4 linked regions of the Cricetulus griseus genome follow. The protein of the gene in region 2 interacts with the protein of the main gene of each other region in a pairwise test. Links are inferred from orthologs where the notes say so. Each region holds a gene or a part of one and is shown on either strand. Other genes may lie near its edges.

What was found.
Region 1: the proteins of Mif4gd (region 2) and Ddx19b interact in binary tests that used the Homo sapiens proteins (3 or more experiments, as listed by UniProt). The link is inferred for Cricetulus griseus from reciprocal best matches to the Homo sapiens genes MIF4GD and DDX19B.
Region 3: the proteins of Mif4gd (region 2) and ATP-dependent RNA helicase DDX19A interact in binary tests that used the Homo sapiens proteins (3 or more experiments, as listed by UniProt). The two-hybrid records come from large-scale screens. The link is inferred for Cricetulus griseus from reciprocal best matches to the Homo sapiens genes MIF4GD and DDX19A.
Region 4: the proteins of Mif4gd (region 2) and Eif3g interact in binary tests that used the Homo sapiens proteins (3 or more experiments, as listed by UniProt). The link is inferred for Cricetulus griseus from reciprocal best matches to the Homo sapiens genes MIF4GD and EIF3G.

What each region holds. Positions count from the first base shown.
Region 1 is NC_048596.1:187,428,976-187,436,414, reverse strand, and holds the start of Ddx19b (ATP-dependent RNA helicase DDX19B), read left to right. Parts: upstream 1-2,578; 5' UTR 2,579-2,675; coding exon 2,676-2,732; intron 2,733-7,439. UniProt on the Homo sapiens protein: ATP-dependent RNA helicase involved in mRNA export from the nucleus.
Region 2 is NC_048600.1:128,202,615-128,210,038, reverse strand, and holds the start of Mif4gd (MIF4G domain-containing protein), read left to right. Parts: upstream 1-2,845; 5' UTR 2,846-3,041; intron 3,042-3,342; exon of another isoform or gene 3,343-3,630; intron 3,631-3,810; 5' UTR 3,811-3,860; coding exon 3,861-3,942; intron 3,943-6,698; coding exon 6,699-6,808; intron 6,809-6,960; coding exon 6,961-7,116; intron 7,117-7,234; coding exon 7,235-7,327; intron 7,328-7,424. Other genes in the region: Slc25a19 (mitochondrial thiamine pyrophosphate carrier), read left to right, coding at 1-177. UniProt on the Homo sapiens protein: Functions in replication-dependent translation of histone mRNAs which differ from other eukaryotic mRNAs in that they do not end with a poly-A tail but a stem-loop. May participate in circularizing those mRNAs specifically enhancing their translation.
Region 3 is NC_048596.1:187,401,390-187,408,730, forward strand, and holds the start of ATP-dependent RNA helicase DDX19A, read right to left. Parts: upstream 4,815-7,341; 5' UTR 4,709-4,814; coding exon 4,652-4,708; intron 2,075-4,651; exon of another isoform or gene 2,055-2,074; intron 1-2,054. UniProt on the Homo sapiens protein: ATP-dependent RNA helicase involved in mRNA export from the nucleus.
Region 4 is NC_048597.1:133,765,984-133,773,419, reverse strand, and holds Eif3g (eukaryotic translation initiation factor 3 subunit G), read left to right. Parts: upstream 1-2,350; 5' UTR 2,351-2,441; coding exon 2,442-2,461; intron 2,462-2,577; coding exon 2,578-2,624; intron 2,625-2,816; coding exon 2,817-2,900; intron 2,901-3,004; coding exon 3,005-3,093; intron 3,094-3,215; coding exon 3,216-3,275; intron 3,276-5,225; coding exon 5,226-5,330; intron 5,331-5,421; coding exon 5,422-5,611; intron 5,612-6,396; coding exon 6,397-6,504; intron 6,505-6,636; coding exon 6,637-6,773; intron 6,774-6,870; coding exon 6,871-6,977; intron 6,978-7,229; coding exon 7,230-7,245; 3' UTR 7,246-7,321; downstream 7,322-7,436. UniProt on the Homo sapiens protein: RNA-binding component of the eukaryotic translation initiation factor 3 (eIF-3) complex, which is required for several steps in the initiation of protein synthesis.

The sequences.
Region 1 (7,439 bases), on a different chromosome or scaffold from region 2:
CCTAGATTATCCTCAAACTCATATAGCCAACAATGACCTTGAACTGGATCTTTGTTTCCACCTTCCAAGTGCAGCTCTTACAAGAGAGAACCACCTGGTTGGGCTTTGAGGATGCTTCAGTTGAAATTTTGTGTTTGAGGTATGCAAGAACTTTTGAGGTTTTTCAAATACATTCAGGGTCTAGCATGTGCTGCTAGGCAAGAGATCAGTTGCATGTTTTATTTCTTTTTTTCTTTTTGGTTTCTCGAAACAGGGTCTCTGTAGCCTTGGCTGTCCTGGAGCTCACTCTGTAGACCAGGCTGGCTTCAGATTCACAGGGCTTGCCCCTGCCTCCCACATGCTGGGATTAAAGGCGTCCACCAACACAGCCAACTCATGTTTTATTTCTTAAGCCAAGTGGTAGGAGCCTAGGTAAGAGCATAGAACATCAGGTCACATTCATCCCCTCACTCATTAATTTTCCCTCTATCCCCCAGAAGCTGAGGTATTTGTTAAATATTATTCCCTTCATTATCTGAAGTAAAAACAATTTTTTTTTTAGACAGTCTCACTATTTGTAGCCCTGGGTGGCGTGGAACTATGTGGACCAGGCTGGCCTACCTGTGCTTCTAGAGTTCTGGGATTAAAGCATTGTATCACCACATTAAGGTGTTTTTTGTTTGTTTTGTTTATTTTTTAAAGGTTTATTTATTTGTTTATTATGTATACAGTCTGCATCATGTGTCCATGAAGGCCAGAAGAGGGCACCAGATCTCATTACAGATGGCTGTGAGCCATCATATAGTTGCTGGGAATTGAACTCAGGACCTCTGGAAGAGCAGCCAGTGCTCTTAACCTCTGGGCCATCTCTCCAGCCCTAGTTATATTTATTTTTAAATAAGATGGTCATGTTGATCTCCAACTCCTTATTCTCCTGCTTCAGCATCTCAAGTACTGGGATTACAGGTTGCACCACCATGCTTGACTTGTACAATTTTTTTAGTTTGGGTCTGGTTTTCTGAGATTCTGTCTCAAAAGAAAATGAGCACAAGGAAAATAATTTCAGAATTCAAAACGAAATTTCAGATGGGAGTGATGGCTCATGCTTATAATCCCAGCATGTGGAGACTGAGGCAAGCAGATCACTGTGAGTTAAAACCTCTCCTAAATAGTCGTCGATGTGTTTCTGATGACTTTCATTCTGTACACACACCTATGTTAGTTTGTTTCATTTTGTTGAGCAAGGAGAACCTATTCTATATTGCATCTTGCATAATTTAATGTTTAACTTCATTTTATTTTGTTTGGAATTTCTTAACCTTATGTAGCCTTGAAAAATACAAAAAAAAAAAAAAAAAAAAAAACCTCAAATTTTTTTCTAGTTGATTTTTCCCCAGGATTTCTTCTGACTCGCAATATGGTCATGGCTCCCAGCCTGTGCTTGGTTGTCCTCTGCCTGCACCATCCTTACGTACTCACCATTGCTTGACATTAATTTGTCATGTAATATTAGTAAAATGTTTTCATAAAGTTCCAAGAAAATTCTCCAATTCCTTCCAAGAAGTAGCCAGGGATAAAGGCCTATTTGATCCCAGTTAGGGGAAAGCAAGTATTTCAGTCCTTATTTTACTATTCTAAAAACTAGAGCTATTTCCTCCTCTTAAAGATTATCCAGGGCTCCAAAGCTACACAGAGAAACCCTGCCTCAAAAAACCAAACCAAAATAAAATAAAAATTATCCAAAACTAAGGCTGAAGAGATGGCTTAGAGGTTAAGGGTGCTTGCTGCTCTTGCAGAGGACCTGGGTTCAATTCCCAACACCAACATGATAGTTCACAACTATCCATAACTCCACTTCTGGGTATCCAATGCCCTCTTCTGACTTTTCTGGGCTCCAGATACACATATAGTGCACAAAGGCATGCAAGCAAAACACTCATACACATAAAATAAGCAAGTTTTTTTTGTAATTATCCAAAACGAAATAAATAAAACTCCAGCTACACAGCCTTTACATAGGAGAGGAGAGCTGGCCATCCGAAGAAGGCATAGATGATTCCAAAATCCATATATTTCCTTATTAAATGGCTCTTGCCACCAGGGATTGAATTGGATTGGTTGGATAAACTGACTTACTCTTTCTGGTTTCTGATATTTTACCAAAATTTTCAATTTATCAAGAATTTGGTGTTTTCAAAACTCAATTTGGGACAGATCTTTGTTTCACAGGACTGATTGCCAATACTTAGAAATCTTATTAAATTGATAAGAACAGACACTAAGTAAGCTGAGGCATTTTAAATAACCTGAAAAGTTAAAACAGCTATTTGCTTGCTTATGTATTCTGAATGTAATAGTTATATGAGCCCCTCTATACCACCATGCTGGGTGTGAAGGTGATTTCCCTCCTTTAGTCAGAGAGCATTTAGTCTAGGCTACCTCAGTTGGGTAGTAGGGCAATCTGCAGCGAAGTGGTAGAGGCGGGGACCTGAAGACTACCTTAGAGTTGCCAGGACTTTAGGGGCGCAGAGCTGACGCGGGCTCTGACGACACCGCGGTGCGCCGCTTCCGGTCGTCTGCGCCTCAGTGAATGATTTCCCCCGGGGCGGAGCTGGGCCTCGCCGCGACCCACCTGAGCCCACGGCCGCGCCGCCTAATCGGGCGAGCCTGTCAGCACTGCCCCGGCACTGGGGACCATGGCCACGGATTCATGGGCCCTAGCGGTGGACGAACAGGAAGCCGCGGCTGAGTCGGTGAGTTGTCACCAGCCGCTGGAGGACCATGGGACCAGTGCCGGTCAGGATCGCGGTCTCTTGGAAAGACACTGTTTAGGTTGCTCGGTGCAGGGCGGAGGAGCCTGGCGGGAATGGGACTTGGCCCCAAAGCTGGCTTTGCTTACCCAGCCCCTCCCACGTTGTATAAACTCAATTTGGGTGATCCAGCCATCTGCCTGTCTTCCTGGAATCAGGGTTGATAATCGATTGCACTCACAACCTCGGATGGCAATTTTTATGTAGCTTCAGATACAAGTTTCTTGGGCTCACGGACCATGTCTTACTCATTTATAACTCCTCCCACTGGGTTATTGGTGCTGGATGATTGACTGGTTTGGCAGTAAATCCTCTCTTGATTAGCTCTTTTTCTTAGCCTGATACATTGTAGCAAGACGTGAGTTAAATATTGCTATGTACAAGTAATTTACAAACATTCTGAAATTTAGTAGAGATTTGAATGTGACTCTCAGTACATATATCTGTGTATTTTCCAAGAATAAGTATTTGTCCGATTTAACTTTTTTTTAGTAAAGAGTAAAGGTTTCAGCCTGGCATGATCTGGCACCTCTCATCATATCTCTTAGAGGCATAGGCAGGAAGATTGCCTCAAGTTGAAGGCCACCCTGAAAGAAAAAATATTTAGTTTAGCTTAAAACTTTTATTATAATATATATAGTAATATAATTATTTACCCACATGGTTTAAAGAGAAGTAGTGTTTTGGACTTTGTTCACTTATTTGGGTATTTTTAATTTTTTCTTTTCTGAGACAGAGGACCTTGAATGAATGTATGTATGTATGTATGTATGTATGTATGTATGTATGTATGAATGACTGACTGACTGGAACTCCTGATCCTCTGTCTCTTATGTCCTGAGTGCTAGGATCACAGGCCTGCATCACTGTGCCCTGTTTGAGAAAAGTGTTCTTTTTTCTTTTTCTTTTTTTTCCTTGAGACATGGTTTCTCTGTAGCCTTTTTAAAAATTAATATACAAAGTGCTAGGTTTCACCATAGCATCTTTATACATATGTGTATGATTCTTTGTCCTTCCCTTACTCTCCCTCGGGTGGCTTCCCTCCAGCTGGGTTCCCTTTCTTCACCTGTGTAGCCTCCCTCCTGCTTTCCTGTTAACTTTATTTCCCACCTACCATAAGACCTCTTCCTCCTCCCTCATGACCTCCTTTCTAGTTTTGTGACCTATAAATACACAGATAAATAGGTGTACAAACACCAATATATATAATTTTGCATTATGAGCAAAAACATGTGTTTGTTTTCCTTGGTCTGGTTTATTTTGCTTAACATAATGATTTCCAGTTGTACTCATTTTGTGCAGGTAACATGAGTTCACTTTTCTCTATAGTTCCATAAAATTCCACTTTGTATACCACATTTGCTTTATCTATTCATCTATGAATGGACTTCTAGGCTAGTTCCATTTCCTGGCTGTGTAGCTATAAATACAGATGTGTAAGTATCTCTGTAGTATGTTGACTTTGTCTTTCATCCTTTGAATACACAAGAGTGGTATAGCTGGATCATGTTCTATTATCAGTTTTGTTTTGTTAATGTCTGTACTGATTTCTGTATTGGCTTCATTAACTGATCTGGTTAACATTTCCCAAGTGCTGGGGTTACAGGAATGCATAGTTGTCATGCACAGTTCATGCAGTTTGTGGAACTGAACTTAAGAGTTTCCTGTGTGGTAGGCAAGCACTCTACCAACTGAGCTACATTCCCAGCCTCATATTTCTTTTTCTTTTCTTTTTTTGTGGGGGGGATTATCTACTTGGTTATTGGCCCATTCATTAATTGAACAGTTTGGGCCTTGGGGGTTTATTTTTGCACTTCTTTTAAAAAATTAAGACAATTTTATTGATTGCATGTAATTTTATGTATGTTAGCATATATTACAAACTTTAACTCACTATATAGCCCAACTGGAATTTAATTTTCTTCTTTTTTTTAAATATTTATTTATTATGTGTACAGTGTTCTCTCTGCATGTCTGCTTGGATACCAAATCTCATTACAGATGGCTGGGAGTTACCATGTGGTTGCTGGGAATTGAACTCAGGACCTCTGGAAAAGCAGCCAGTGCTCTTAACCTCTGAGCCACCCCCTCCCCTGGAATTTAATTTTCAGCAGTCCTTCTACCTCAGTTTCCCCCAGTTTGAGGATTACAGGTTTGAGCTACCAGGCCAAGATCCCAGTTTTGATTAAAATGTTATCTTTTAATTAAATGGACTTTCTGTATTTATATTATTATTTCCTAAGTACTTTTTTTTTTTTTTTTTTTTTTTTTTGAGACTGGGTCTCTCTACATAGCCCTGGTTGTCCTGGAACTCACTATTTATGCTAGGTTGGCTTTGAACTTACAGAGATTCACCTGCTTCTGCCTCACAAGGGCTGGGACTAAAGGCATATGCCACCATGACTAGCTCTTTAAATTTTTAAAATTACATGTATCTGGCTTTGTGTGTGTGTGTGTGTGTGTGTGTGTGTGTGTGTGTGTGTGTGTGTGTGTGTGTGTATGTGTGGTGGGGAGGGGAGGTCTTGCCATAGCACGAATATGGGAGCCAGAAGACAACTGGTGGAATTGCTTCTTTCCTTGTACCATGTAGGTCCTGAGGATTGAACTCAAGTCTTCAGGTGTGGTGGCAGATGTCTACCCTCTGAGTCTTCTTGGCCATCCCCTTACTTACTTGATAAAACTTGTTTTTCATGGAGTTTTTAATTGGCCTGTGGTTTGCTTGTTCATTTATTATCAGCTCGCTCCTTAGCTTGATGCTGGTAGTCTTTATATCAAGATGTCCAACTACATGTGGGGAAAAAAAAAAGATGTTCAACTACATTAAGCATTCTATTAACTGTTTCTTTCATAACATTTAGTGTGATTCAAGCTGGACTGTCCAGACCCTCCTATTTTTAGAGTACAGCTCATTTTTGTAGGGACAAGGAGAAACAGCAGATTTGCTATCAATCTCATTCAGAAGGATTCCTTCTTCCTTTCTCTTTTGTTGAATATACTCTCTTCTCCCTCCTTTACATCCCTCCTCCTCGTAGACACAGGGTCTCATGGAGCAAGAGCTAGCCTTCAACTTACTATGTAGTCCAGGATGGTCTTGAACTCCTAATCCTCCTGCTTTCACCTGTTGCATTCTGAGATCACAGGTATGGACAACCATGACCAGTAAACTAGCCCCCTCCCCTACCTTGGTTTTTTGAGGCAGGGTTTCCCTGTGTAGCTTTGGAATCAGTCCTGCAATTCACTCTGTACACCAGGCTGGCCTTGAACTCAGAGATTCTCCTTCCTCTACCTCCTGAGTCCTGGGCTGGGATTAAAGGCATGTGCCACTACTGCCCAGCTGAGTGAAGGATTTTTTTTTTTTAAGGTGGATTTTTTTTTTAAGATTTTATTTATTTATTATGTGTACAACATTCTGCTTCCATCAGAAGAGGGCACCAGATCTCATAACAGATGGTTGTGAGCTACCATGTGGTTGCTGGGAATTGAACTCAGGACCTCTTAACCTCTGAGCCATCTCTCCAGCCCCTGAATGAAGGATTTTTATGTTTTAAGATTTCCTTTGTTCTCTCTGCTAATCTCCTTGGTCTACTGTCTCTCATATGTTCCTACTATTCTGTAACACCAATGGGGCTCCTCCATCTGTATCTAGCTACCAATTCAAACAACTTTTTCTTTTCTTTTTTAAGATTTATTTGTTTATATGTATACAGTGTTCTGTCTGCATGTGTCCTTGCAGGCCAGAAGAGGGCACCATATCTCATTACAGATGGTTGTTGGCCACCATGTGGCTGCAGGGAATCGAACTCATGACCTCTGGAAGAGCACTCGATGCTCTTAACCTCTGAGCCATCTCTCCAGCCTAGATTTTTTCATTCTTTATACCCTTTACTAGCTGGTAGCTGAGTCACTACTCAGGACCTTTGGGAGAGCAGCCAGTGCTCTTAATTGCTGAGCTATCTCTCCAGCCCCCTATTAAGATACTTACATCCTTATGGGTGGATATAAGTCATACCAGGATATTTCTAATTTATACTGTTTGACAAAGTCCTGTTAATTATTGCCTTGGAACATTTCTCTGATCAGTTTCTTCTTTTCTAGTCCTAACTGAACCTGTCTTGGTTAATTTTGGTTGTGCCTGGTATCGCAGTGCTCTCAGAATTTATAGTTATAATGTCAGACCCAGTACAAAGCAGCTTGAATGTGAGGCTGCACGTTAGCTGTTGTGGTCTGGCTGGGACCTACCCAGCCATATAACTATGATGGGTCACTGCTGCTCTACTTTGTAATCTTTCCTGCTGGGTATTGGCTGTCAAAAGTGAGACTGATTTTTTTCCCCCGGTCTTTGCATTTCTTTTCTTTCAGGACAGAAGAAAATGACAGTTCTGACAAAATCTTACCGAGAAAGTCTTTGTAAAACAAAGCATTAAGCAAGCTTACAAATTATAATTCTTCATAGAAATTGTAATTAGGAAATGTGAGGTTGGGACTACTATATAATCTTTTTTTTTCTTTCCTACTGCTGTATTTATGGGAAATTTTGTTATTTTCTTTCAACAATTTGAAAGTAAAAGGAACCCAGTAGAACAAGCTAATGAATCATTGCTACTGAATATGCCTAGCAAGTAAGTCTTGAGAATAGTTCTTCCAGTTTAG
Region 2 (7,424 bases):
AGCTACAGGGGCCTCCTGGACCTCACCAAGCAGGTGCTACAAGATGAAGGCACCCAGGGCCTCTTCAAGGGCCTGTCCCCCAGCCTGCTGAAGGCGGCCCTCTCCACCGGCTTCATGTTCTTCTGGTACGAGCTCTTCTGTAACCTCTTCCACTGCATAAGGAGTGAAGACAGATAGCTGTGAGCATGGGAGGGGCCTACAGTCCACACTGGAGGCGCCTCTCCTGACCAGACTTGTTCTGCGCGCATACTGGGCGATGGCTGCTGCCTGGTTGACCTAGGCCGGCTGTCCTGGGCATGAAGAGTTATCCACAGCCGATGGCAGAAGGGCAAGGGCCTTTTCTGAAAAGAACAGAGAAGGGAGAGCTTGGGCTGTAGAAACAAGGCCACTGAGAAGGAGCCTGGCATTGTTTCTCCTCTGTCCAGCCCAAAGGAGTCAGCCATCCTCTGCTTTGTAGTCCTGTTTTTGGGGGAGAACGCTCCCAGTCCTGGGAAGAGCATGGCTTGTGTACAGAGGGAAGGGACTGGGCTCTTTGTAGAAAAATCTAACCCACAACTTGGTGTTTCTCCTACTAACTTATTTAATAGACATTAAAGCGAAAGACACATTCCTCACGTCACTCTTGCAGCTCCTGTCATGAGTCACTTCCCAGATGAGGGAGGGAGGGTGATGGGAGAGGCCTTTGTGGTGTCCCTGCAGTTGCCGCCCTGAGGCAGCCATGTTCTTCTTTTCAAGGGGAACCCTTCAAGGTGTCACTCTTCAGCTTAGCGTGGGTGCTGCACACATACGTGTCCTCTGATCCCAGGAGGGCCTCAGCCACAAAGCAGTCCAGTGATGGGGCTGGCCAGCCGCCTGGGGGGACATGGCTGGCACCGGTTAGCAGAACCAGGGACCCAGACACATCTATCTAGATGGAGAGGAAAAACTTGTCAGGGGCGCGAGAGAAGAAGCACACCTCGACAGCCGTCTTCTCCATGCTCCTGCCTGGCAGCGGGCGAGAGGACAGACCTTGACTTTGTGGGATCCCTGCCCTACAATAACTTGGAATGTAATGCCTGCTCGGGATGGACCTGTTCATGGAAGCTGGAACTTGTGCCCCGCGTGAGCCCCACCTTCCTCCTCTGTGGTCCCTTTGTACCCCCTCCCCTAGAGGCTGAACCTTCTCTGATCTGATGGTCCAGGCTGCTCTTGGGAGAGCTTCTGAAGTGGCTGGGCTCTTGGCTTCCTGGGCTTGGGGCTGCAGCAGTGTGGTGTGGTGCTCGTCTGCAGACACATGGGCAAACGTCTACTCTAGAGAAGGAGCAGATGGCAGACCAATGCAAGGTCTGAGGGCTTCTGTTGCTGCCTGAAACACCACCACCAAAAAGCCGACTGGGGAGGAGAGGGTTTATTCGGCTCACACTTCCACATTGCTGTTCATCATGGAAGGAATTCAGGGCAGGAACCTGAAGGCTGGAGCTGCTGCAGAGGCCATGGAGGGGTGCTGCTTGCTCAGCCTGCTTTCTTATAGAACTCAGGACCACCAGCCCAGGGTGTCAGCACCCACGATGGACTGGACTCTCCCCATCAATCACTAATTTAGAAAATGCTCTCCAGGCTTCCCCACAAGTCTGATCCTACGGAAGCATTTTCTTAATTGAGGTTCCTGCTTCTCACATGACATTAGTTTGGTGTAAAACTATTTAGCGCACAAGGCTGGAGAGATGGCCCAGTAGTTAAGAGTACTGGCTACTCTTTCAGAGGACCCCGGTTCAATTCCCAGTACCCTCATGGCAGCTACAACTGTCTGATCCAGGTCAAAGTGATTTGACGCCCTCATTCTGACATAGATACAGTCAAAACACCCATACACATAAAGTAAAAAATAAATCATTAAAGCAAAACAAAACCTTCAGCACTACCAAAGTCCAACTTGGTGAACCAATGAGGTTGACAGCTATCGAAAGCTGGGAACCACTGGGCGGTGGTGGCCCCAGCACTCGGGAGGCAGAGGCAGGCGGATCTCTGTGAGTTCAAGACCAGCCTGGTCTACAAGAGCTAGTTCCAGGACAAGCTCCAAAGCCACCGAGAAACCTTTTCTCGAACCCACTCCTCCCGCCCTCACCAAAAAATGCTGGGAACATGGAACACACTGAACAGCCTGCAGGTCCACCAGGCAGCTCAGTGGTCGGGCCTCTGAGGTCAAGTTGACCGATCTTGACTATGCTGGGCAGCCCAGCCCATGGCGGCTTCTTCCAGGCAGCTGTGCTGCTGACCCGAGCCCTTTTCAGGCAGCCTGGCTTGGGTGCTGAATGCATCTCGGTGGTCCTCATTGCCTGCACATCCTTAGTAGGGAGGGGCTTCCAGGAGCCTTTGAGTTGTTCGCGCCCCTAGAACATTCGGTATCTTTTATTTCTTTTCCGTTTTTCGAGGCAGAGTTTGTTTCTCCTCTTAGATGTCCCATCTTAACCTGGAGGCTTTAGTCGGCTGTCCGAATCTTTCAGTTTGCTTTTTTATAAAGTAAATCCCATGCTCCTCATTTGCCCTCTGGCAGGCGATTCCTTGGCTGCCGCAGAGGAGAGTTCTCTTTTGTACCTATTACCATGACTGCCGCGACAACTCTTAAAATAAGCGCGAGCTCTGGCTGCTGGTCGCCTGTGTGCCCGTGAGGTGGGGAGGCCACAGCGATGCTCCCGAGTCCCCCCGGGGAGGACCCAGGGCCCTTTCTCCAGGACCGCCCCTTGGATTTAAAACTTATTTTGCCAGGGTGTGCCCCAGACCTTACACACCTTCTGCTTTAACCAGCCCAAGCCCGGAGGACAGTGCCCAGGCTGCTGCGATTGACTCGCCCCGCCTCCCGGTAGGCCACGCCCTCCCGAGGCTCCGCCCACGCCGCGCGGCCCGGGAGTCTCCCACCCGGTTCACCTGAGCCCCGCAAGGGACATGGTGACCCTGGCGGGGGTGCGACCCGGCAAGAGCAAGGGCTTCATGCGGGACGGAGAGCGGGTCCGGCCGAGCGCTCGAGGGCCTCTGCGGACAGGAACGAGGCTGAGGTGCGCCCGGTGAGGAGGGGCCGGGGGCGGCGAGCGCGGCGCGGCGGTGGCGATGTCGCAGACGTCGGTGCGGATCGGTCTCCGCGCCAAGCCTGGGAGCGGCCCCGGGCGGCGGCGGGGTGCGCAGGCGTGCGCAGCGGGGAGGGGGGCGGCAGGCGGCGCTGGCGAGCTTCTCAGGCGCCTCCGTGCGAGCCGAGCTCAGCTTCCGCGCGGTGGCGCGCCGGGCGAGCGCTGCGCAGTCCCCGAGACGCGAGCGCCCTCCCACGCAGGCTAGTCGGAGCCCAACGGCTGCAGGGGTGGGTGTTGTGGGCGGAAAAGGACTGGCTAACGCGGGGGAGAAGGGCTCCAAGCCCTGCTGGTATCAGGATCCGCGCCTTGGACAACGCCGGCAAAGGAGCCGAGCCAGAATTCTCCATGCCGGATAACTTGGGCGAGTCTGACGTCTCCCTCTCCACAACCCAGTTCAGTATGCGCTCCCCTAAATGCACCCTGATACTGGCTGATAATAACCCAGATCCTGCCGCGGCCGTAGGTGAATTCCCGCTTCATTCCTCGTATGTAATCGCAGAAGCCCGGGTTTCCTCAGGCTGAGCTGCAGGTGCCTACTTGATGCTCAAGTCTCCACCAGAAGCCAAGTGTGGTGGGCTGAGAGCGACAGAAGTCCAGTTACTCCTGTCCCTCCCAGGCCCGGCCCGGCCCGCCCCACCCAGTGCCTACAGGACTAGAAAACCGAGCTCTGCGATTCTCACGCGAAGCCTCTTCGGTCTTTGCTTCTCAGGTGCTGACATTAGTTTCAGGCCAGTGAAAAACTGCTGAGGCTGGACCGTCATGGGGGAGGCCAGTAGAGATGAGTATAAAATCCAGTCGTTTGATGCAGAGACCCAGCAGCTGCTGAAGACTGCACTCAAAGGTGAGCCTACCGGCCCTTCTACTTGGGCAAGAGCTGCAGAGGGGCTGGCTGAATGCCCAGCCTCCCTGTGCCTACCCGAGAGTAAGTCACAACCTCACTCTTGGACCGGAAGACGAGCTCCATCTAGGCCATTATTTTTGAGAATGAATCACAGTCCTGTTTGAGATCATACAAAGCCTTTAAATGCCCAAGAGAGAGGGAACACGACGGCCGTCCCTTTAAAGCCACATTCGATGCAGCCAGCCAGCCTCCTTGAGTGTCCACAGCTGTCTGGCTGAGGACAGAGGCTGGGGAAGCAGCTTGCTGCAAGAGAGGTGTCATTGCCCGGCCCTATGTCCTTCCATTGTAACAGGACAGGAGTTTGACTAACAGTTAGCATTGTCCCTCCTGTGCCCAGCTAACCCCAATAGGGAAGTCTCTGCAGGCTCATGCCTGGGGCTTCTGTGTTTTGAGCACACTTGGAGCCATGTGGTGGAGCACAACTGTAGTCCAAGCAGATTACAGAGGCAGGAGGATTAGCTGCTCTACATAGAGAGAGCCTGGGGGAGGGGAAACAGGCCAGCAGTGTAGAGCACAGGTTGCAAGCCAGGCACGGTGGGCTCCTTTAGTCCCAGCACGCGGAGGCAGAGGCAGGTGGATCTCTGAGTTCCAAGCTGGTGTGGTCAGCTCCATAGTGAATTCCAAGATAGCCAGGGCTACATAGTGACCCAGTCTCTCTGTCTCTATCTCTGTTTCTCTCTCTCTCTCTCTCTCTCTCTCTCTCTCTCTCTCTCTCTCACACACACACACACACACACACACACACACACACACACACACACACACAAAACCATAAAGATGACTTGCAGAGGACCTGGAGTGGCTCATAGTCATTGGTAACCTGAGTTCCTGGGATCCAGTCAAACATGGTATTCATACATGCATGCAGACAAAATATTCATACATATAAAATGAATGAACCTTAAAAAAATTGCACAGTGAGGTATAGGCCAGCCAGTGCTATTAAATAACAGAATTAGACTGTCTCAAAAGACAAAAAAATTAATCCCAGCACTCAGGAGGCAGTGAGTTCGAGAACTCTGTGAGTTCTGGTCTACAAGAGCTAGTTCCAGGACAGCCTCCAAAGCCACAGAGAAACCCTGTTTCGAAAAACAAAACAAAACAAAAAACCCCCAAAACAAACAAAAAAAGTTGTAGAAGTCTTGACATTCAGTTTACATTCTTCAACCTACTGCCAAGAAAATAAAACATAGATTCCCAAGAAACTACATTTGTACTTTGGTCTCTTCTAGCCTCATAATCCTTTATTTAATTAATTTATTTATTTATTTGGCACAGGACTCTCAGTGTAGCCCTGGCTGACCTACAATGCAGCTCACTCTGTAGACCAAGCTGGCCTCAAACTCAGGTTGGCATGCCTCTGCCTCCCGAGTGCTGCCATTAAATGTGAGTGCCACTCCTGGCAGTATATAATTAAATTTTTTAAAATTTAGTTTGTTGGGCAGTGATGGTACACACTTTTAACCCCAGCACTGAGGAGGCAGAGGCAGGTGGATCTCTGTGAGTTTGAGGCCAGCCTGGTCTACAGAGTGAATTCAAGCACAGCCAGGACTGTTTCACAGAGAAACCCTGTCTGGGGAAAAAAAAAAAAAAAAACAGAACAATTTAGTTTATCTATGTGTTTACCTGCGTGTGTGGATGTGCACCCACCATGCACAGCAGTGTCTGTGGAGGCAAAAGAGGGTGTGAGAGCCTCTGGAACTAGTTACAGGCAGCTGTGACTAGTGTGGGAGCTGGGAATTGAACCTGGGTCTTCTTCAAAGGCAAGTGCTCTGGGCCGGTCAGTGGTGGCACACGCCTTTAGTCCTAGCACTCGGGAGGCAGAGGCAGGTGGATCTCTGTGAGTTTGAGACCAGCGTTGTCTACAAGAGTGAGTTCCAGGACAGGCTCCAAAGCCACAGAGAATTCCTGCCTTGGGACCACCCCTCTCATTCCCCTCCCCCCAAAAAAGGCAAGTGCTCTTAACCGTTAAGACATGCTTCAACTCCCCTGTTTCCTGATTGCACAGCCAGGGTCCTGACAGTGAGGCTGGTGTAGGCATGGTTGCAAGCATCTGCTTGGAGACTACATATTTATTGGTTTGGCTGCATTGTGTCCAGACTTTGGTTCCACACATCGTAGTTAGGCATAGTGCTTGGTCCCTAAATTCTACTCTTTACACCCCCAACTCTGGTTTTTATTTTCTAGATGGGAATCTCACTATGTAGCTCTGGCTGACCTGGAACTTGCTATGTAGACCAGGCTGGCCTGTCTCTGCCTCTCAAGCCCTAGGATTATAGGTGTGCACCACCCAACCCAGCTTCTTTTTTTTTGAGACAGGGTCTCATGTAGCCCAGGCTGTCATAGAACTCTGCATGTAGCCAAGGGTAGCCCTCACCTCTTGACCCTCCTTGTTTCTACCTCCCAAGTGCCATCTGGCTGGTTTCCCCCGCATCTTTTTAAGCATGGGATAGGATGTTCTCTCACAAACATCTCATCTTGGGTGTTGGAGTACTCGACTTTAATCCAGTACTCAGGAAGCAGAGGCCGACAAATGTCTGTGGGTTTGAGGCCTGGTCTACATAGAGTGTTCTAGGCCAGCCACGGCTACGTGGTGAGAACCTCTCCCAGAAAAACCAGCCCCTCCAGCCCTTAGCAGATGGAGGCACACAGGCTTAAGCAGGCAGCTCTAGACTCTGCTCCTGTCTCTACCCCAGATCCAGGCACCGTGGACTTGGAGAAAGTGGCCAATGTGATTGTGGACCATTCCCTGCAGGACTGTGTGTTCAGCAAGGAAGCAGGACGGATGTGCTACGCCATCATCCAGGTCGAGGGGGCTGGCAGAGAGGCAGCTGCCTTGAGTATGGCACCCCAGGATCAGGCACAGGCTGGCCAGCAGAAGACACACAAGTTTATAGACAGAGGCTAGGGTGGGTGGAGTGGCCAGCGCCCTGCTTACCACCCTCTCCTGGCTCACAGGCAGAGAGTAAGCAAGCAGGCCAGAGTGTCTTCCGCCGCGGGCTCCTTGACCGGCTGCAGCGGGAGTATCAGGCCCGGGAGCAGCTGCGAGCCCGCTCACTGCAGAGCTGGGTCTGCTATGTCACCTTTATCTGCAACATCTTTGACTACCTGAGGGTGAGGCAAGGGCAGTCACCCTGTGTAGCACTGATGGCCTGTGTCCCAAGGCCAAGACCGGACTGCTCCCCATGGTCACTAATGCTGCCTCCTGCACCTCTTGCTCTCCTCCCCACAGGTGAACAATATGCCCATGCTGGCCCTGGTTAACCCTGTCTATGACTGTCTCTTCCAGCTGGCCCAGCCTGAGAGTTTGAGCCGGGAAGAGGAGGTGAGTGGCCATTCCACAAAAGGCTGTGAAGGGCATGCTGGCTCAGAGTCCCAGTCCTGTCCGTGGAGGCTGCTGCTCCTCAGCTAGTGCCTAGTAG
Region 3 (7,341 bases), on a different chromosome or scaffold from region 2:
TTAACCCTATCAACAGCAAATAAATTATAGTCCTCTATCCTATCAAACACCTGCAAGGTTTTTTTTGTTGTTTTGTTTTTCTTTTTTTAAATTTTTATTAGAAAGAAAATTATTTTACTTGTCAATCCCAGGTCCCTCTCCCTACCCTCCTCCCCTGTGGCCCCCAACTCACACCCTACCTATCCAATACCATTTCTGCTCCCCAGGGAGGGTGAGGCCTTCCATAGGGGATCTTAGAAGTCTGTCTTATTCTTTGGGATAGGGCCTAGGCCAACCCCCTTGTGTCTAGGCTCCATGTGGGATGGACTCCCAAAGTCCACACCTATGCTAGGGATAAATACAGAACTACTACAGGAGGTCCCATAGATTTCCAAGGTCTCCTCACTGACACCCACATTCAGGGGGTCTGGATCAGTCCCATGCTGGTTTCCCTGCTATCAGTCTGGGGACCAAGAGCTCTCCCTTGTTCAGGTCAGCTGTTTCTGTGGGTTTCGCCAGCCTGGTATGGACCCCTTTGCTCATCAGTCCTCCTCCTCTGCAACTGGATTCCAGTTCAGTTCAAGGTTTAGCTGTGGGTGTCTGCTTCTACTTCCATCAGCTCCACCTGTATGTTAAGTTACTTTAAAATGTATTACAATAAACTGGGTGCAGTGAAACAGCACTTGGGGGATGGAGGCAGGAAGAATAAAGTTAAAGATCATGAGTTAGAAGCCAGCTTGTGCCACATGAGACTTTGCCTTCAAAAAACAAAACAAAAAAAATGAAAATTCTAGAACTTCAATACAAGGTTTTTTTGGTTTTTTTTTTTAATTAACTGTTGGCTACATGGTCTTCATCAACAGAAACTGAATTGATAATTTATAATAGAAAGTACAATCAGAGCAATAATTAATAAATTTGCAATCAAGGCTCCACTTTCACAAACTTTAAAATTTATTTTATGTGCATTGGTGTTTTGCCTACATGTATGTCTGTGTGAGGGTGTCAGAGGCCCTGGAACTGGAGTTACAAACAGGAGTGAGCTGCTATGTAAATGCTGGGAATTGTACTGGGTTCTCTCGAAGAGCAGTCAGTGCTTTTAACCACTAAGCCATCATTCCAGACTCTCACAAATATTTCTTTTTTTTTTGGTTTTTCGAGACAGGGTTTCTCTGTGTTAGCTGTGGAGCCTATCCTGGCACTCGCTCTGGAGACCAGGCTGGCCTCGAACACAGAGATCCATCTGCCTCTGCCTCCCCAGTGCTGGGATAAAAGGCATGTGCCACCAACGCACAGCTCACAAATATTTCTTATGTTCTAAAAACTGCTAAGAGTGATTTGAAAATGGTAAGATGGTAATCTTGACTGTCAACTCAACCGTCCTTAGAATCAATAGAAGATAACCCTCTGAGTTTATCTGAGGGAGGAAAACCAACACTACACAGAATGTGGGCAGCACCACTCCCTGAATTAGAGTCCAGGACTGAATGAGAAGGTTAGTGAAGCTTCATCATCATCATCATCATCATCATCATCATCATCATCATCATCATCATCTTACTTGAGGATCCCTGTGACTCCTAGCACCATGCCTTCCACCATAATGGACCATGTGTCCGTCATTCTTAAACCATGAGCCAAAATAAACTTTTAAGTTGTTCTTGTCATATATTTTGTCACAGCAAAGATCAAAGCAACTAATACAGTAGTATTGAAGATGTTCCCAGGGGACCAGAGAGATGGCTCAGCAGTTAAGAGCACTGACTGTTCTTCCAGAGGTCCTGAGTTCAATTCTCGGCAACCACGTGGTGGCTCACAACCACTGGTTATGAGATCTGGTGCCCTCTTCTGGTGTGCAGATATACATGGAAGCAGAATGTTGTACACATAATAAATAAAATCTTAAAAAAACAAAAACAAAAAAAACTGTGAGCCAATACACCTACCATGAACTGTTATCTTTCCTGGAATATTGCTCTCAAACTTGCTATACTCTGCTAAATGATAACATCCTTTCCAAGCTGCCCTCTCCAACTGACACTGCTAGCTAGGCCTTTGAGAAAAGATCTACTCACACATGCATATCTTTCCTATCTTTTTCTTTTCTTTTCTTTTTTTTGGTTCTTCGAGACAGGGTTTCTCTGTGGCTTTGGAGGCTGTCCTGGAACTAGCTTTTGTAGACCTGGCTGGTCTCGAACTCACAGAGATCCGCCTGCCTCTGCCTCCCGAGTGCTGGAATTAAAGGCGTGCGCCACCAACGCCCGGCTCATATCCTTTCTACGGCTGTAATAAAACAACATAATCAGGACAACTTACAGAAGGGTTGACTTGGGCTTGTGGTTCTAAGAGTTACTCTAGGCTAAGAGTCCACGATGGCAGAGCAGAGGCATGGTGACTGGAGCTAGAAGCTGAGGGCTTTCATGTTGAACTGCATTTGAAATGGGGCTTTATTTTCCCACAAGGCCTGCCTCCAGTGACATGCCTCCTATGCCTCCCCAAACAGCGGCACCAACTGGGGACCAAGAGTTAAAAAATTTCCAAGCCTATGGGGGACCTATTCAAACCACCACAAAAGTTAGTGTTTTCATCTGATCTCTTTGGGAACCAGGTTTTCTACAAAAACGCAGGTGACCACACTTCTTTTTTTAGTGGGGGAATGTCCAGAGGAAGCCCAAAATACACAGGAGAGGCATGGCATAGCAAAAGTTATCATTGGTTGGTTAATCCTTATTTTCAGGATGTATGCAGCGACCAACATAAATAACTGGGATGTTCTGAAAATTTGATAATGACCATCTTGAGTTCTTCCACATTAAGACTGGCCTCCAAAAGGCCTGATAAAAAAGAAAACTAAGTTAATTAAACCATGATTTGTGTAAAAAACAGCTTTCTCTGAAGGGATAAAGGATGTCAAAAGCAAGAATCTAGCAGCTGCATTCAAGGAAGAACTGCTAGTAGACAAGTATGCCTGTCTTGAGAGTGAACAGCAACCACAAATGGGAAAGGCCAGCCAATCAACTGCCCATTGTCCTTTGTTCTGGATTCACCACAGCACACAACCTCTGATGATTAATATTGCCTCTGTGGACAGGAAATGTACACAGGTCTATGTGGCAAAAGGTGTATGTGTGTTGGGGTGGTGGTGGTGAAGTATATCTCAAGGGGCATCAGTCTTCTGATAAGCAGAATGGTTAGGTCAAATATTAAGGATGTTTAGGTGGTACCGGTGACATTCATATCATAATGAGATTAGGTACATATTTTTTTACCCCTGCAGTGCAAGGTGTCCACCTAGGGCCTTGTTCAGGCTAGGCAAGTTTGTAACTTAGAAAACTTATGTCCCCAGCTTTGGATAGTACACTTTAAAAAATGAGAAAGGTGGGTATGGCGGTACCCTCCTGCATTTCCAGTTAGGACAGGAGGATTAGTGGAGTACGGGGCTTTAAGACCAGACTGGCCAGAGTGAGATCTCCTTCTCAAACACATATAATTAAATTGAAAACAATTCCCAGTCACTACCTTTTAGGCATAAGCTCATATTAAACATTAGATTGGAAACTTCAGACTGGAGCTCATAAGATAGCTCAGTGGGTAATTGCATGTCATCAAGTCTGATTAATTGAATCAATCCCTGGGACCACAATGTAGGTCCAGAAACTATCCTCACAAGTTGTCTTCTGACCTCCATACACACCGTGATACATGCATGCTCAAAACACATAATACACATCATAAGTACAATTAATGGTTTAAAAAAATAAATACTGGAGTTACAGTGACGGTTCAGTGGTTAAGAGAGCTTCCTGCTCTTGCAGGAGTCTAAGGTTTGGTTCCCAGAATCCACATTGAGGCTCATGTCGGTTTCTATCTCCAGTTACCTCTTCTAACATATGTAGGGACAAAAGGAGTACACATATAAACACAAAACAAACATAAGCAAATATTAAAAGTATTTGAGGCCACACCGAGCTAAACAGTGATCTGCAGGCCATCTGGTCTGTCTCAAAACAAAACAAAGGCAGCAAGCCTGTAATTCCAGCACTTAAGAGGAGGTAGAAAGACAGGAGTACACAACCTCAGCTATCCAACAAGTCAGAAGCCAACCCAGACTAAAGGAAACCCTGTCTCGAACACACCAACACACACCATAACCACACACACACACACACACACACACACACACTCAAAATCTAAGAAATGAAACTAAATGTCACTAAAATATTAACTAAACAGTTTTGTATTGTAGCTATGTGAGGCATTCAAGCAAGCAAGCAAGCAAGCAAGCGCACACACACACACAGTTATTCTGGAGAGCTACAAACTGTCAACCACATTAGGCATGAACGTAAGAAGTTAGGTGAAAGCAGCATAAATGCACCCAAAAACTGTCCCTTAACAATGAAAAAGAAAATTTTATGTTGCCAATTGTTATAAAGGTCAAGAGAAAGAGCCAGTTTGGAACCTCGCACACATAGTGAGGACAGAATCACCACGGGAAAACTTTTCAGTCCAAATTCGGATAAGAAGCTCGCTGCGGGTTTTCTTCACTCTAGGAGCAAATCAGCACTAAGTGATTGCCCGCAGCAAACTCCTGCGGCGCGCAGGCCGACCCGACTCGGAGGTCCTGGAAACAGCGTCCGCCTGAGTCCCCCGTCCCCGCCAGGACACTGACCGACTTGACAGCGGCTTCCTGTTCGTCCACCGCCAATGCCCAGGAGTCGGTGGCCATGGTCCCCAAGGCAAGCGGGATCTGCAGAGGTTCCGCACCACGCCAACACCAGCGTGGAGTCCCAGCCCGCGCTAAGCGCCGCTCACGCGGAGCGGAAGGAGACGTGCGCGGAGTTGACGTCAGTTCCTGTCTCGCTTTGTCATGTCCCACTCGCGCTCCGCCCCTGGACAGTAAGCGTGCCCTGTGTTTTAAGATCCTGCTTCGCGGCGGATCTCTGTGAGTTCGAGACCAGCCTGTTCTACAAGAGCTAGCTCCAGGACAGCCTCTAAAGTCACAGAGAAACCCTGTCTCGAAAAAACAAAAACAAAAATCCTGCTTCGCTAGGTGAGGTCTGATTGTGAGTTACGCCCAAGAGCTCTGTCTACAAAGAGTAACTTTTAGTATTCACTGCATCTCTTCATTTCATAGTAAAATAGTTTTTAGTACGGTTTTGAAACAAGGTTTCTTGCAGTTAGCTGCCTTGAGCTCGGTTTTCTCCTTCACTTCTCAAATGCCGAGATATCAAGGGATCCAATGCCTTCTGCTAGCCTTTTTGGTCACAGACATATACATGCATACACATTTAAAAATAAAATGAGGCCAGGCGTTGGGGATGCATGACTTTAATCCCAGCACTCTGGAGGCAGAGGCAGGCAGATCTCTATGAGTTCGAGGCCCGCCTGGTCTATAGAACCAGTGCCAGGATAGGCTCCAAAGCTACACAGAGAAAAAAACAAAATAAATAAAAATAAAATGGGCGAGCAGTGATAGCACAGGCCTTTAATTCCACAGGCAATTGGATCTCAATTCCAGGCCACACTGGTCTAAAGAGAGTTCCAGGACAACCAGGACTACACAGAGGAACCTTGTCTCGAAAAATCAAGTACAGGTCAGATCCCTCTACATATAGTAAGCAACAGGTCAGGAAAGGGGTGACAAAATGCCAAAAAGATTCAGAAAATAGTCCGGCTGTGGTGGCCCACACCTTTAATGCCAGCACTTGGGAGGCAGAGCCAGGTGAATCTATGTGAGTTAGAGGTCAGCCTGGTCTCCAGAGCGAGTGCTAGGATAGGCTCCAAAATTACAGAGAAACCCCGTCTCAAAAAACCAAAAAAAAAAAAAAAAAAAAGATTCATGGGACTGCCAGGCCATGGTAGTTCACGGCTTTAATCCTCAGCACTCAGGAGGCAGAGGCAGGCAGATCTCTGAGTTTGAGGCCAACCTGACCTACAGTATTAGTTCCAGGACAACCGGAACTGTTACACAGAGAAACCATGTATCAACAAACAAAACAAACAAAAAAGAATGGAGAGCGGGGAGATGGCTCAGAGATTGAGAGGACTAATAATTACTCTTCCAGAGGACCTGAGTTCAATACCCAGAACCCACACATGGCAGCTCACAACTGTCTAAGATCTGCTACCCATACAAAGACATTCAGGCAAAACACCAATGCACATAAAATAAAGTGATTAAAAAAATTAATGGATGGGACTGGAGAGATGGCTCAGAGGTTAAGAGCAGTGGCTGCTCTTCCAGAGGTCCTGAGTTCAATTCCCAGCAACCACATGGTGGCTCACAACCATCTGTTATGAGACCTGGTGCCCTCTTCTGGTGTGCAGATATACATGGAAGCAGAATTTTGTATACATAATAGAATCTTAAAAAAATTAATGGAATCACAAGTTGTTTAGAACATCTAGGTGGCAGAGAAGACCCAGCCTGCACAGTCATCAGTGTGTTGAGCTCTTTTTTCCAGGTGAAGGGGGTTTCAAGACAGTTTCTCTGTGTAACAGCCTTGGCTGCCCTGACGGGACACATTTTATAGACCACGCTGGCCTTAAACTCAAGAGATCCATCTGCCTCTGCTTTCCAGAGGGATTAAAGGCTTGCACCACCACACCCAGGGAGCTCTTTTAACTCTTTAAAGATGACTTTGTGTATTGTGTTTTTGCCTGCACTTATATTTGTGCGAGTATCAGATCCCCTGGAACTGGAGTTATAGTGGTGAGCAGCCATGTGGGTGCTGGGTGCTGGGAACTGAACCTGGATCCTCCAAAACCACCAGTGCTCTTAACCACTGGGCCTTGAGATTTCTCCAAAAGAACAGGATTTGTAGAAGCAGGACTGACAGTTTATCCCCTTCTCCTTGTATTGTGCATCCTGACTCTCTGCTGAACTGGAGGACTCCTATTTCCTATTTCCCCACATTCACATCAGCTAGAAGCCTGGAGGTGACATTTTCTACTCAGCCTTTAACTTTGGCAGTTTCTTCCAATTTTTTTGTCCTTGCTTCAGTTTGAGCTGGGAGATGTGAAAAAAAGTATGCAAGCCCATCAAATTAGGCAGAACTGGAGCACAGTATGAAGCAAAAGATGCATTTGAATGAAGCAGGTACCTGGTCTGGAGAGCCCCTCTCATTTTGTACTAGAACCAAAAATGAAAAGTGGTTTTTGTTTTCTTTTTAGATCCAGTCTCATTTTGGCCTCACAGTTCTCCTGCCTCAACCCTCTGACTGTTGAGATTACAGGCTTGTGCTACCAAGTACAGCTAAGGCAGTGTAATTCTGGTTGGCTTGGAACTATATAGACCAGGTTGGCCTCAAACTTAATCTACCTATGTCTGCCTACTGAAAACTAGGATTAAAGTCATTT
Region 4 (7,436 bases), on a different chromosome or scaffold from region 2:
GGCCAGGAAGCAGCACTCCTCCATGGCCTCTCCTTCAGTTCTTGTCTCCATGCTCCTGCCTTAAGTCCCTGCACTGACTTCCCTCAGTGAAGGACTATAAGCTGGAAGATAAAATGAACAATTTCCTTCCTGAGTTGCTTTTGGTCATAGTGTTTATCACAGCAATTGAAAATTGACTAAGACAGCTTTCCCAGCATGCACTGGGCTCCATCCCTGGCATTAAATAAGCCAATCTGGTGGTGCTTGCCTGTCATCCCCTCACTGGGGAGGTGGAGGTAGAATCAGTAGCTTGACACCAGCATGGGCTACACAAGACTGCTCCTCAGAAAAAGAGCAAAACTATTTCTCTATAGGTTTTCACTAGTGCAAGCATCGTTTGAAAGGTCACCACTTACACCTCAGCCATCTGAGTGCCAGATGACAGGTGTGTGCCACCACTCCCCACTGCACAGCCTTCTTACTGTCACGTCTTTGCATACAATTTGCTCATAAGTTAAACTATTACCTGGCTCCAAGGAAAGATCTTATTAATACCTTATTTCTGTACTTTTAAGTTTATTATTACTGTATGTGGGTGGGTGTTTTGCCTGTATCTGTGTTTGTGCACCACGTGCATGCCTGGCACCTGTGGATGAGGTCATTGGATCCCTGGGACTAGAGCTATGGACAGTTGTGAGCTGCCATTTGGGTGCTGAGAATGGAACCCAGGTCTGCTGGAAGTGCAGCCAGTGCCTTTAACCACTGAGTCAATGCTGTCCACTTAAATTTTGTTTTTAGAATTTTCCCATTTGTAGACAGGTGATGGTGGCTTATGTCCCTAATCCCAGCACTAGTGAGGCAGAGGCAGGCAGATCTCTGTGAATTTGAGGCCAGCCTGGTCTACAGAGCAAGCTCCAGGAGAGTCTCCAAAGCTACACAGAGAAACCTTGTCTTGAAAAAACAAAACAAAAACAAAAACAAAGCAAAGGCCATTTGTCTGGATTTTGCATTTCTCTAGTAAATTTTTTGTTTTGTTTTTGTTTGGTTGGTTTTGTTTTTCAAGACAGGGTTTCTCTGTAGCCCTGGCTGTCATGCACTTACTTTGTAGACCAGGTTGGTCTCAAACTCAGAGACCCACCTGTCTCTGCCTCCACAAGTGCTGGGATTAAAGGTATGCACTCCTGCACACGCACGCGCGCGCGCGCGCATACACACACACACACACACACACACACACACACACACACACGGCTCCATAATACAAATTCTACGTGCTGGAAATATAGGTCATCACAAGTGCGCCCAGCGTGTGCTTTCCATCTGCACTAGCAACCCAAACTAAGAAAGAACTTCTTGGAATGCATGTTCCCAGAGGCTGAGAATCAAGTAAAGGAAGATTATACCAGAGTTCTAGGGGGTGTAGCTCTGAGGAAGGAGAAAAGCTTAGTATGGGAAATAGTTTAAGATGACACTGGTAGGAACCCATTTCACATAGAGGAATATTCCCTGAGCCTAGACACACGGGGGAGGGCCTACGTCCTATCCCAAAGGATATGACAAACTGATGACCCCCCCCTATGGAAGGCCTCACCCTCCCTGGGGAGCAGAAAGGGCATGGGATAGGTAGGGTGTTACTTGGGGGAGGGAGGCAGAGGAGGAGGGGAGGGAGAGGGAACTGGGATTAACATGTAAAACAATGTTGTTGCTTTCTTCCTTTTTTTTGGGGGGGGGTTCGAGACAGGGTTTCTCTGTGTAGCTTTGGAGCCTGTCCTGGCATTCGCTCTGGAGACCAGGCTGACCTCGAACTCAGAGATCTGTGCCTCTGCCTTCCGAGTGCTGGGATTAAAGGCGTGTGTCACCAACGCCCGGCCTTTTTTGGTGTTTTTTATTTTTGTTTTGTTTTGTTGACAATGTTGTTTCTAATTCAAATAAAAAACGGAGGAAAAAAAAAAGATGACACCGGTAGAACTTGCAAGATGTCTTTGCAGCTAAGAAGGCTGACTGCCAAGCCTGAAGACCTGGGCTCAGTCCACAAGAGAATAAACTGGGGAGATTGCTATGAGTGCAAACCCAGCCTTCGGTACATCAGTGCGTGGTGCTCATGCCTATAATTTCAGCCCTTCGGAGGTTGAGGCAGGAGGATTGTCGGGAATTGCTGGTTATCCTAGCTACAGAGTGATACAGTGACTTCTAATCCCATCACTCCCCCCCAAAAAAACAATAAATTAAGTGGGTGCGGAGAGTTTAAGAAGTTCTGGACGGTCTCTCTGGGACCTCCTTCCAGCTTGGGTCCCCGTACTTCGCTGCACACGAGAGTCGCGTGTCCGCCTTCGTCCATAGGGAGGCGCTGTGCTCGCCGCGGTCTGGCCGCTCTAGGCTGCAGGGGCGGCACCGGAAGCCTCGTTCTCCCCGGGCTTCCGCTCTCTACCCGGGCTGGGAGCTGCGTGGAGCTAGACTTCGCGATGCCGACGGGCGACTTTGAGTGAGGACGGGGCGGTGGCGGGCTCTCCAGAGAGGCGGTGTGGGGCAGCGCTGGGTGTGTGGTGATCCGGGCGGCGCGGGGGTCGGGACCCGCTCACCCTTCTCGTGTCTCCGCAGCTCGAAGCCCAGCTGGGCCGACCAGGTGGAAGAGGAGGGCGAGGACGGTGAGTGCGCGTGTGCGTGTGAGTGAGTGCGTGAGTGCGTGCGTGTGAGTGCCTGTGCGCGGCCCTCCGCGCCCTGTCCCGGGGCGGGCCGAGCCCCCGGAGTCCCCAAACCCACCCACACCTTGGCCTGGACGTCCCAGCCGTGTGTTTCACTTTCCGTCCCCCCCGCCGCCCCCGCATTGCCTCTGACAGACAAGTGTGTCACCAGCGAGCTCCTGAAGGGAATCCCTCTGCCCACCGGGGACACCAGTCCAGAGCCGGAGCTACTGCCCGGAGGTGAGCCCCGTCCAGCCCTGCCGTCCCCTCCCCCTTCCGGCCCTCGAGCCCGTTCCCAGCAAGTCCCCGTTATCCAGGACTCAGTTCCTGTTGTCTTCCCACAGAGCCACTGCCACCTCCCAAGGAAGTCATCAACGGGAACGTAAAGACTGTGACCGAGTACAAGGTAGATGAAGATGGCAAGAAGTTCAAGGTGAGGCCGAGGTGGCCGCGGGGGCGCTTGGATTGGCGATGAGGGCTGTGAGTGTTGGTTTGGATTGGTGAGGAAGGAAGGCCTTGAGGTTCTGGAAGTCCTTTCTCCCTTTCCATCTTCAGATTGTCAGGACCTTCAGGATTGAGACCCGGAAGGCATCGAAGGCTGTGGCCAGGAGGAAGGTGAGGCCCTCCCATCTGACTCACTTTGGTGTGTGTATGCGGAGGGGTCTCCAGGACTGGCCCAGAGGAGTTGGGAAGTCCTTTCCTGTTGATGTAGAATTAAAAATTTAGTGTCAGGCCCTGGAAATTCAGGGTCCAGGAGTAGTTGAGGTTAGATTTTTTTCCCCCCTTTTGTGTGCTCCTGTGTACAGTGTCATTCCTCCAGCAAATTCCTCTTGCATTGAGATGGGCTTTTGTCATCAGGAATTAGATTTGACTAGCTGGCCACCTATCCCCAGTGAGCCTGTTGTCTCTACCTTTGGAGATAACAATCACATGCTTCTGTGCCCAGCTTTTCATTGTGGGTGCTTGGGATTGGACTTTGATGGGTACTTTTGTGACAAATAATTTGCTAACTGGGACATATCCATCCTCTTGAGTTTTTTGTTTTGTTGTTATTTTTATTTATTTTTTGGTTTTTCGAGACAGGGTTTCTCTGTGTAGCTTTGGAGCCTATCCTGGCACTCGCTCTGGAGACCAGGCTGGCCTCAAACTCAGAGATCCGCCTGCCTCTGCCTCCTGAGTGCTGGGATTAAAGGCGTATGCTACCAACGCCCAGCCTTAATTTATTTATTTTTAAAGATTGATTTATTTGTTTATTATGTATACAGTGTTCTGCCTGCATGTCAGAAGAGGGAACCAAATCTCATTACAGATGGTTGTGAGCCACTATGTGGTTCCTGGGAATTGAACTCAGATCTCTGGAAGAGCACTCAGTGCTCTTAACCTCTGAGCCATCTCTCCAGCCCCATTTGTTGTTATTTTTGAGAGGCTCTTGCTGTGTAGTATTCAGATTCTAAATGCTTCTGCCTAGCCTCCTGGGTCCTGACTTAGATTCTTACTCCTTTGCTCTGTCTACTTGAAGGAACAAGCAGCCTCTACTGAGCAAGGGGCAAGGGCTTCTGGAGGAAGGACATCAACACATTGAGAGCAAGGCTCCATGCCAGGCATTTAGCAAGACATGGCTTCCCAACCTCTAGATCAGGCTAGGGAGGCAGGGAGCTTTGTGGTCCCATTTAACTAGCTTAAGGTTCCTGTGATCTGAGTGACTCTTGGACATCCTCCAGCTTCCTCCCTGGTGGGAGCCCGCCCTGCACCTGCCTAGAAACTTCAGTGGCACAGTTGTGTGCCATTCTACTCTGAGTCTCCTTGCTGTTTCCTGGAGTTTTTTTTTTGCTTCTCTCCTTATGGGGTGTGTGTGGGGGGGGGTAGGTGTGTGGGTGTGTCTCGGGGTCATGAATGGCTGTATATTCACACTCAGACTAGAGGAGGAGATTGGGTGACTTGCTCTGTCATGTCACTTTACAACTTATTCTCTTTAGATAGGGTCCCCTGCCCCTGGGCTATATTTAACTCTTTGGTTTGTTTGTTTTTTGTTTTTCAAGACAGGGTTTCTCTGTGTAGCTATGGAGGCTGTCTTGGCACTGGCTCTGGAGACCAGGCTGACCTTGAACTCACATAGATCTGCCTGCCTCTGCCTCCCAAGTGCTGGGATTAAAAATGTGTGCCGCTACCACCTGGCTCATACTTTCTATATGAGAGTTTTGGGTTCTTTCATGTACAATAACCGGTTTTACACACGGAACCACCTCACCAACACCCTCCCCCCTTCTCCCCCACTCCTTTGTTTTGGCCTCATACAGCAGAGCTCAGGCTGGTTTTGAACTTGTGTATCTCAGGGTGACCTTGAGCTCGGAATCTTCTGTTTCCACCTTTAAGTGTCAGGGTAACAGTTACATTCCACCAAGCCTAGCTTAGGAAATGAGAATTGTCACCATTATCACATGGGAGGCCTCTGGGGACACGAGAATGTAGGATTTAAGGCTCTGACGGGGTTGTCTGTCTGGGGTACCCCACTCTGCTATCTTACTGCCTTTGTCCCCATTTTTCCCTATTCTTCTGGGAACCCAGAATTGGAAGAAGTTTGGCTACTCTGAGTTTGACCCACCGGGGCCCAATGTGGCCACCACCACAGTCAGCGATGATGTCTCCATGACATTCATCACTAGCAAAGAGGTGAGCAGGGTGAAGCTGGAGACCCAGAAGTGCAGTGGGGGTGGGGTGGACAGCGGCCGGCTCTGAGCCACTCTTCCCTATTCCCCACTAGGACCTAAACTGCCAGGAGGAGGAAGACCCAATGAACAAGCTCAAGGGCCAGAAGATTGTGTCCTGCCGCATTTGCAAGGGCGACCATTGGACCACCCGCTGCCCTTACAAGGACACACTGGGGCCCATGCAGAAGGAACTGGCTGAGCAACTGGGCCTGTCTACTGGGGAAAAGGAGAAGCTTCCGGGAGGTATGGGCCTAGGGCATGGGAGGGGCCTCAACACTTTTTTTTTTTTCCGAGATAGGGTTTCTCTGTGTAGCTTTGGAGCCTATCCTGGCACTTGCTCTGGAGACCAGGCTGGCCTTGAACTCGCAGAGATCCGCCTGCCTCTGCCTCCTGACTGCTGCGATTAAAGGCGTGTGCACCACCAACGCCTGGCTAACTTTGTGGTGTGCTGTTTTCTTTCTCTGTGGCCATGTTGGTGCAGCCTATGCCTGGGTACCCTCATAGTTACCTCGTTTGCTTGGGGCATGGTCATTCCTATGTATATGTGGCTGGTGACTTATTCTAACGCGCGCGCGCGCGCGCGCGCGCGCGTGTGTGTGTGTGTGTGTGTGTGTGTGTGTGAGAGAGTGTGTGAGTGTGTGTGTGTAGGGAGTATCCGTGTGCTGAGCTCACTGGCTCTGTAGGTCAAAATCTAATGTGCCATGTATGTAGCTGCCTGTTGGTGACTTGTGACTTGTGTGGAGCTTTGCCTCTCACCTATCATGAACAGCCCAGGGACACCCTCTGTCATAGCCTGTAGTCTGGGCTCTGAGAGCCTGGTGTTCTCTAGCTCGTGGGGCTCTGCAGTGCTGGGCTGTGGGTGCCAGCACCACACCTGTCCTGTAGCTTGCTCACTTTACCCATACTGTCTCAGTGGAGACTTTGAAGGGTGGTAGCTTCTGGATGTGACCATTGGGGTCACCAAAGCATGACTGAATGCCTGTAGCTCAGGGCTAGGGCTGAATGTGACTTTGTCCACTGCTTTCCAGAGCTGGAGCCTGTGCAGGCCACCCAGAACAAGACAGGGAAGTATGTGCCCCCGAGTCTCCGGGATGGGGCCAGTCGCCGTGGGGAGTCCATGCAGCCTAACCGAAGAGGTAAGAGGCTAGGAATAGCCTAGGTAGCAAGTACATAACTAGACACCCTGTAATTATCCTGTGTTGTGGGTGTGGGGTCTAATGTGGCGTTCTTCTCACCACCAACTCACCTTCCCTGCCTTGCTCACATAGCCGATGACAATGCCACCATCCGAGTCACTAACCTGTCTGAGGACACACGTGAGACTGATCTCCAGGAACTCTTCCGGCCTTTTGGCTCCATTTCTCGTATATACTTGGCCAAGGACAAGACCACTGGCCAGTCCAAGGTGGGTGGGTTGGTCTGGGGAATGGGTAGCTGGATAGTACTGGTTCTGGGACCCACTTCTTACCCTCCGGCCCTGACTATCTGCCCTTGGCCCCCAGGGTTTTGCTTTTATTAGCTTCCACCGCCGGGAGGATGCTGCACGAGCCATTGCAGGGGTGTCTGGTTTTGGCTACGACCACCTCATCCTCAATGTTGAATGGGCCAAGTAAGATGTCCTCCCCACCCTTCCCACATCCTCTGTAGCTCACTGTGGTTCTGTATCAGTTGTGTGGTTGTCGGGCCTATCTGAAGGAAGGTCCTTTGTTGTGCTCTGGGAAAACCTTTGCCAGATTTGATACCACTGTTCCTAAGCAGGCAAGGCCCGGGCTTCCCTGGTGTGTGACTGTGGAGTCTCGGGTACCCTTCAGGGTCACAAGTCCCTGGCTGTATTCTTAACCTCCTCCCTCCCTCTTTCTAGGCCATCAACGAACTAATAAGACACCTGCTGCCTGCTGCTGTCACCCAGACCCTCAGGGACAGAAAGCTTCCATTAAATAGACTCCAAACACACTTGTTTCTTGCTTGTTCTCATGGATCTCCATTGTCGGGGGTGGGGGTGGGGATGGAGGAAGAGCTGATCCCTGCCTCAGGCTGAGGTCTTGTAAAGAATCTGCCTCAATGGGAG